Linked DNA regions of Arabidopsis thaliana. The protein of the gene in region 1 interacts with the protein of each later gene in a pairwise test. Each region holds a gene or a part of one and is shown on either strand. Other genes may lie near its edges. The genes, in order: AT1G18780 and MYB2.

Region 1 (3,787 bases):
AGCCTACAAAAACTCATCAGCAATGTCAAGGTATAAACAACTATAAACATAAGACAACTAAGTTATAACAAGTTAAATTCCTCTATTGTGTATCATTAGGAATTATTTTTTGCATTTTTTAGTTCGCCAAATTTTCTTGAAAATTTGATTTTTGTTGTTTTGGAAATGAAAACGCTATATAAAGCCTTAATGCTATGGTCTACCGATTTAGTGAATTTGATGTGACTATTTTTATAATTGTAACAGGAGCTAGAGAAGATGGAAGGGGAAGAAAATGAAGATAAGCTAAGAAACGCTTTGGAAAAGCTCGAGAAGGAGAAGAAAACGATTGAGAAGTTACCAGATTTGAAGTTTGAGGATAAGACAAAGAGATTGAGACAAGCTTGTTTCAAGGCTAACCATAAGAGGAAGAGAAGAAGTGGCATGTCCACGCCCATCACATCATCATCTTCTTCTGCTTCTGCTTCTTCTTCTTCTTACTCTTCTGTTTCGGGTTTTGAGAGATAATAGGTGCTCGATGGTCTTTGATGAAGAGGTATGAGAAGATGATGATAAAGAGGTGAAGGATCTCTTATGAAGTTTCTCTAGTGTGGGTTCTTCTATTTGTTTGTGAATGTGTTGTGTATGGTTTATTGTATTCGACTCTAAATTACAAAACGTTTTTGACTCATTAATATTAAAATTACTACTAATATAGTAAACGATCTCTCTCTCTTTTTTGTTTGTCTCAATAACTTGTTAGCTAGCTTTTCAATCTACTTCTTTAAAAACACCTTCTTCATATTTTGACCCGAATGCATAACTTATGTTGGTTAATATCTATGTTCACGTAGCTTCGTAATTCGTATAGTAAATTTGTATCAAAATTTTGGTGTCAATGGCAGTAATTTAGTACAACAAGAACAACAAGAATTTTGCTTCCAATTCTAGAATATAAGAAGATTGCTTAACAACAACAAAAACAATAAAGAATCACTCTCTTTATTTATGCTTTAGAGATCTCAAAACTAAAACTCTCAAGTTCTCTCAATCCCATAAACTCTCTTAAGGTTATGTCTAAACTCGACATCTATTAGGAATACAATTATATTTAGATAACTGCTAAATATATAAATCATAATCCTACTTTGAATAGCTTATGATTCCAGCTAATTCAAGCTTATCCAACAATTTATTATTCGAGTTGCTAAAATAAATATTTTAATTTTTTTATATTTTGTGAAATACCGCAAGTTTGAGAAAATTAGAACGACTATGAATGTAAATTTGATTTAGGAATTATGATTACTTATTTTTTATTTTGCATTCGATTTTTTTTTTTCTTTATTTTTGGGACCTAATTTGGATAATGTTGGGTAACATAATAAAACTGATATAAATCAAAAGAGTTTTGAAAAGATAAAATTAAGAAGAGGAAGAAAAAAAATTACAGTTAATTAGCCGATATCTATAAAATAAAATATATTGACTAATTATATACTATATCATTCTTATAAAATATATGATTCCTAGACAACATTTCTTACAAAAAAAAAAATGCATAAAAGGCTAAAACTCCCATGCATGAGTACTATGTACATTATAGCGCAATAGCTCTGTGCCTCTGTCCTGAGTTAGTTCGGTTGCTGCAGTCACCAAATATACAGAGACTTATTCAGTTTGGTGGATTATATAGCTAAATAGTTTCAATGGAGATATGAATTACAAACCTGGTTGTAAGAAGTTTGACTAAACTTTAAATCTGGAACCCAATTACTTTGATGATGATGATGTAAGAAAGTGTGACCAACTTTTAAGTACTAATTTTTTTAATCAACTATATATTTTTTTGTCTTAATTTATAAAGTTTTTCAAGCTTAAAAGGAAATTGAGTTTAAACGTCAATAATCAGATTAACAAAAACAATTAATTAATTAATTGTTTGCTAAATTATACCCAAAGAAAAAAAAAGGAAAGTAAAAGCTTAGGAAAAAAACATACACCGTTTGTAAATTAGGAAAAAAACAATTACAAATGTAAACTGATATCAAATCCCAATAGTATTAGATTTTCTACTAAAGATATATATATATATATATATATATATATATATACCATCGATCTAGGCCTCTGTTATAAATACATGAATGAATTACTTCAAGAGAACCCTAAACGGCTAAACATAATCGATAAAATTTATTTATTCTTGATCGTTCTCGCCATCATGATTTCATCCTTCGCACATGAAATTGAGCACAATCCTGTACCTGAAGATGTTGGCATAATCAATATCAGTGTTGCTACGACCAAAATATATCAAAGTATCATCAGTAATTATGATCTCTATGATGAACTAACATCAGAATTCTCTTGTATCCCGGTTTCTTTACGCGACTGTGTTGCTGTAGAGCTTACTGAATTCTTGACGGGATCAGGAAAAATCACTCCCATCGATGCTTACCATGTGTTACTAGAGTTGTTTCGATTCGTCGATGAAATAACTTCCTCTGATGATTATACTCCAGGTTGTGCTTTAAGAGTGTTGATGACTCTTACAATCGCTATTCCTCCTGAACATATTGAAGAAGACGTTCTAGGTTTAGAGGATGAGCAAGACGTTTACGGAGAAGCATCTTCATCTCAGTTTGAAGAAGTTGTTCCATTCTACGGGTTGCCATACTTCAGGGATGACTACAATGATTACTTTCCTTACGAAGAAGCATCTTCATCTCAGCTTGGAGAAGTTGTTCTATTCCACGGGTTGCCACACTTAAGGGATGAGCACCATGCTAGCTTTGGCTTCGATCATCAAATTGAAGAAGCGTCTCATTCTCAGATTGAAGAAGTTTTTCAAGTTTCGTTCAATGAGACCAACACTGTCAGGTTAAAACCTGCGAGCAAGCTCACTGTCGGGGCTTTGAATAGGAAAACATACAAGAAAGCTAGTGGTGTTGTATGTGAGAATGACGTGTGCACTATTTGTTTGGAAGAGTTTGACGATGGAAGAAGTATTGTGACTTTACCGTGTGGGCACGAGTTTGACGAGGAGTGTGTTTTAGAGTGGTTTGTGAGAAGTCATGTATGTCCATTGTGTCGTCTCGAGTTGCCATGTGAAAGATAAGGGTGAAGAAGACGAAAAGGTCACCAAATTTTGTTTAAAGCTTTACGATTTCCAAAATCATAGTTTAGTTTTCTGCAAACTCTTTTCTATTGTTCTTGCTCTTGATTCAGTTTATAGTATTGGACTCTCATTCAAGAATTATAATCAGGTTGATACTAAATTTTTATTAAATGATTTCACGATTTTACAGATTTTTGTTAATCTGTAAACATTTTGCTCTCGATTGGATACATCTCAAATGGTGAGAACCACGTGAGGGCTCTAACCATTTTTTAAGTTTAAATTTTGCTTTTATCAAACTTGAGAACTTGAATTGATGTCATGAAGTTTTGTCTTCTCCAATGGTGGGGTTCTTAAACAAATTTAAATTTTGTAAAACAATGCATATATGTTTGCTTTTACTCAGTACAAAACATTGAAAATGTACAATCAATCAAGAGAGTACTAGAGACATTACAACCAATGAACAACATTGCACAGAGATAGGCTATTAAAGTCGTTGCACAAGCTTGAAGTTACTTACAAGGGGAACACTGATTCGACGCCCACTCCAGCTGGCTCTCCTCCACACTTTCTATTGGAGAATCATGTTCATCACCTTCTTCAGCCTTCTTCTACATACTCTTCTCTTAATCTCAACAAGTCCTTCATATAACAAAAAGGCACTTGTTAAAATGCATATGCAGA
Region 2 (4,309 bases), on another chromosome or scaffold:
TAGAAAAAAACAGTGAAATATTCCTTCAACTCATAAATCAATATAATTGACACAAAAGACCGGTCTTATTTCATGTCAATAGAAAATGGTATTTTCTCTCGTGGTTTGTTACTTTTCTGTTCTTATAAGGCTAACCTCTAGTGGGGATGCAAAGTTCTAGATTTAGACTTGTTCGTTAGATGACTAGGTGGTTAGAATTTAGATTCGCGTCGTTGTTTACTGTGTTCGGGATAATCGTTTTTAGTTGGGATTTGTCTTCGCGGGTTCATCTATCCTTTGCTCTACTCTGTTTGTGGTTAAAGATTCTCTAGTCCGCGATCTTCGAGCTCTTATTTCCGCGAGTTTTGCTCTCCTCCGACTTTCATGTTGATCTCATGAGCTTATCTTCTTGATTTTAGTATATTTTCTTGTGGTCCCATGTATCGGGCTTTTGTTTTCGGGGATTTCTTTATTTTCTGCCGGCTATGTTGTACGAAAACGCATTCCAAAACTGTATTTCACCCATGTATTATATAATGAAAATCTTTCAGTTAAAAAAAAAAAAAAAAAAAAAAAAAACTAGCTTATTTGGGTTGTCGTCTATATCACATATCTAATCGATGTAACAATTCACTGAATCGGGTGTTACAAATAACATTTGTTTTCTTCACTAAAAGTATAAGATACTGGTACAACGCGAAATCTAACCTATATTCGAATCAAATGACACGTCATCACTTGGGTGTCTATTTGTCCACAGTTGAAAGTTATAAGAAGCAGACAAGTGTCTCATAAAGACATCGAGATCTGATTCGGTTCTCAGGTACATACAGTTAATCGGGAGTGTTGCTTTCCCCTAGAACTATGGAGGCTACTATTTAAGTGTCGTTGTGTAACAAAAATCCTGTGTTTACTTGCATTACTTAAACTCCTTTACTTTAATAGTTTTATATATGTTTTCGACCTCCCTTTTTCGACGGAGTGGATCGCTATGACATGTAGGCATCTGATTGTATTTGCTAATCTGTTTTTGTTAGTATGTTAAATTTTTAACCCAATATATGTTTATAGTGCTTATATATTCTTACTTTAGTTACATATGAATATATGATCATTGATGAATTAAACAATATAATGTAATAATTAAATTTGATTTCCCTGATCGAATTATAATTTATATGTTTTGTAATACGAATCAATTAAAATATTTTCTTGTTACACATTTTGATAAAATGTCGTAGAACGTTACTTAAAAGTAATGATGCATTAACAAAATGTACAACATATATTATAAAAGTTATCATCAATATTATAGGCATTCGACTTTCAGAATGTGTATCAATAATCGAAGTAGTAATGGAACGATTATTGAAAGTATACTACGGTCTCTCTTTACTTCATCGTGGATTCTCATTAAAAACAAAAGTACTTTCTCTACCGGCAACTATTGAAAGTATATTATTGTTTTTAATAACTTTGATAGTGTTTCTTAATTATTAATCCCAACGTACGATAAAATTTTGTTTGATAAAACTCACAAAAGTTTAGTATATTTCTGTAAATATATGCATAGAAGTCATAGTGATTGACAGAGGAAAGACGTCTCTTTGACTACTCTTCAATCGAAAACAAAATGTGCTAAAATTTCAAAAGCAAAGTCCCTAAACTCGCCTAACTCCATTTCTCATTTGACTTTGCCTTAAATGTCAATAGTCCTATGTTATTTAGCTACATTCAAAATTGGGAATTAAGAATTATTTTAGACTCCATATACTTAGAAACGAATCCGTATTGGAAACTAATTTCCATTTAGTAATAGTATTTAAGTATTATTATGCTTACCGAGTAGCATGTAGTAGTTTCTTAATGTTAGCTAATTTCAAAGCAAACGACGAATATTAAATCGTGATTGCACACAACAAGAAGTGATTAATAAATCATTAATTTCGCCCATAGTAATCACTAACCAGAGTAATTTTGAACAAGACTAAGGATGTACAATAACTTACGTCTGCGATACTGTGTGGTAATAAATATAGAAACTTTATGAAATAGAACTCTCTTACCAAAGAAAGAAAAAGCAAGAGTGCGTGTTACTATACATCTGAACAAGTCAAAGGGTCAAACCTTAGTATTTTAAAATTACACAAACAATTGACCAAATGGAGAGCTAATTATGTTTAGCATAATTTACTATATAGTTGCAAAATTCCACTTTAGAAACAGAATAAAAAAATAAAAATTGAACATAACACTTATGCCGTGTTCCAGTCACTCTTCAACATTCTACTCATTTTCAAATATCCTTTTTATAAAATACTACTTTTAAAATTATTTGATTCTTATGTTCCTTCACTATATATATATAAATATCGCACATTGCTTAATCACTTCAAATCTAATCCACAAAACCATTCACACCATCTCATCTTCTTTCTCTCTATCTCTTTTCCTTTCCTCATTTAAAGTTTCTTTATAAGAAATGGAAGATTACGAGCGAATAAACTCAAACTCTCCAACACATGAAGAAGATTCTGATGTACGGAAAGGTCCATGGACCGAGGAAGAAGATGCAATCCTAGTCAACTTCGTCTCTATCCATGGCGATGCTCGTTGGAACCACATCGCTCGTTCCTCTGGTATCATCAAAACATCAATCTCTAAATATACATATACACAAAGGCTTTATATATAGATAAACTTATATATATTTTACTCATATATGTGCAGGGCTAAAGCGAACTGGTAAGAGTTGTAGATTAAGATGGCTTAATTACTTACGTCCAGATGTTAGAAGAGGCAACATCACTCTCGAAGAACAATTTATGATCCTCAAACTCCATTCTCTTTGGGGCAATAGGTACACACTATATATCTCAAATGTTAATATTTTGCTATTCTATATGTTACTAGTTAAGTATGTTATTAATATATGTCTTTTTTTTCAATTGAATATATAAGGTGGTCGAAGATTGCGCAATATCTACCGGGAAGAACAGATAATGAAATAAAGAATTATTGGAGAACTCGAGTCCAAAAGCAAGCCAAACACCTAAGATGCGATGTTAACAGTAATCTTTTCAAGGAGACTATGAGAAATGTTTGGATGCCGAGATTAGTGGAACGAATCAACGCCCAATCATTACCCACCACGTGTGAACAAGTGGAGTCAATGATCACCGACCCAAGTCAACCAGTTAACGAACCGAGTCCGGTCGAGCCGGGTTTCGTTCAATTCAGCCAGAATCATCATCAGCAATTCGTACCGGCTACGGAATTGTCAGCAACGTCTTCGAATTCTCCGGCTGAGACGTTTTCGGACGTTCGAGGTGGGGTGGTGAACGGGTCAGGTTATGATCCGTCGGGTCAAACGGGTTTCGGAGAGTTCAACGATTGGGGCTGTGTTGGTGGGGACAACATGTGGACTGACGAGGAGAGTTTTTGGTTCTTGCAGGACCAGTTCTGCCCCGATACGACATCGTATTCGTATAATTAAGGAAATATACGATTACTATACGTAACGAGGAATTCAATTGCGTCACGTTTGGTGTAATATTCATTCGTGCGTGATGCCAATTTTAGATACGGCCTTGGTATACGAATCTTGACTTAATTATTATCTTTTCTTTTCCTCTCTTGTTTTAATCCCCTGATTAAATTAAGATTTGATCATCAGACGAGGATATTTGTGATTCACTGATTTGTGATATTGATATATGTGAATTATTTGATATAACGTTTTAAAAACCAACAAAAAAAAAAAATCATTCCAAGGAAAAGTTCTTAATTTTGATACTCGAAAAGAGCGTAGACTGACTCGAATCAGTTCATATTTTCTTTGGTTCGTTTTATTTACGACAAAATTCACTAACAAAAATTAAAAAACGACAAAACGAAAATATGACTAAATTTATTTTTTTGACAGTTAACCACTGATTATTGGTTCAAATTGTCACAACACATGATTTATCTTGATAGAAATTTAGTAGTCCAGAATGCTGCATGGTTGATCCTAAGAAAAACAAATCATGCAAGGACCAAGGACTTACATTACTTAATTATACTTAAACGCTTTATAAAATTCACATCAAGTGATTCCTGACGATGATCCAGTAAAACCCTTCATCCATATCGTTGCTTCCACACGTAGTTTCGATAATAAACTCGTGATTATCGCCAAGATGCGATGTATCAACCACTGAAATTCTCTTCCTTGTCACGTTTTCGTCTCCGACGATATTTCTGTAAAGTTTCGCAGCAGACGAAGAAGAATCCGATGTCTCCGGCTCGTCTTTAGGCGTAAGACGGCAACTCATCAGTGCTCTAAGGA

Evidence for each region.
Region 2: the proteins of AT1G18780 (region 1) and MYB2 interact in a two-hybrid assay, tested with the Arabidopsis thaliana proteins (one large-scale study listed by BioGRID).

Annotation. Positions count from the first base shown.
Region 1 is NC_003070.9:6,475,571-6,479,357, reverse strand, and holds AT1G18780 (RING/U-box superfamily protein), read left to right. Parts: upstream 1-2,122; coding exon 2,123-3,100; downstream 3,101-3,787. Other genes in the region: RKD1 (RWP-RK domain-containing protein), read left to right, coding at 1-30, 247-507; AT1G18773 (acyl thioesterase-like protein), read right to left, coding at 3,704-3,745.
Region 2 is NC_003071.7:19,373,823-19,378,131, forward strand, and holds MYB2 (myb domain protein 2), read left to right. Parts: upstream 1-2,162; 5' UTR 2,163-2,461; coding exon 2,462-2,618; intron 2,619-2,709; coding exon 2,710-2,839; intron 2,840-2,940; coding exon 2,941-3,475; 3' UTR 3,476-3,721; downstream 3,722-4,309. Other genes in the region: AT2G47200 (uncharacterized protein), read right to left, coding at 4,062-4,309.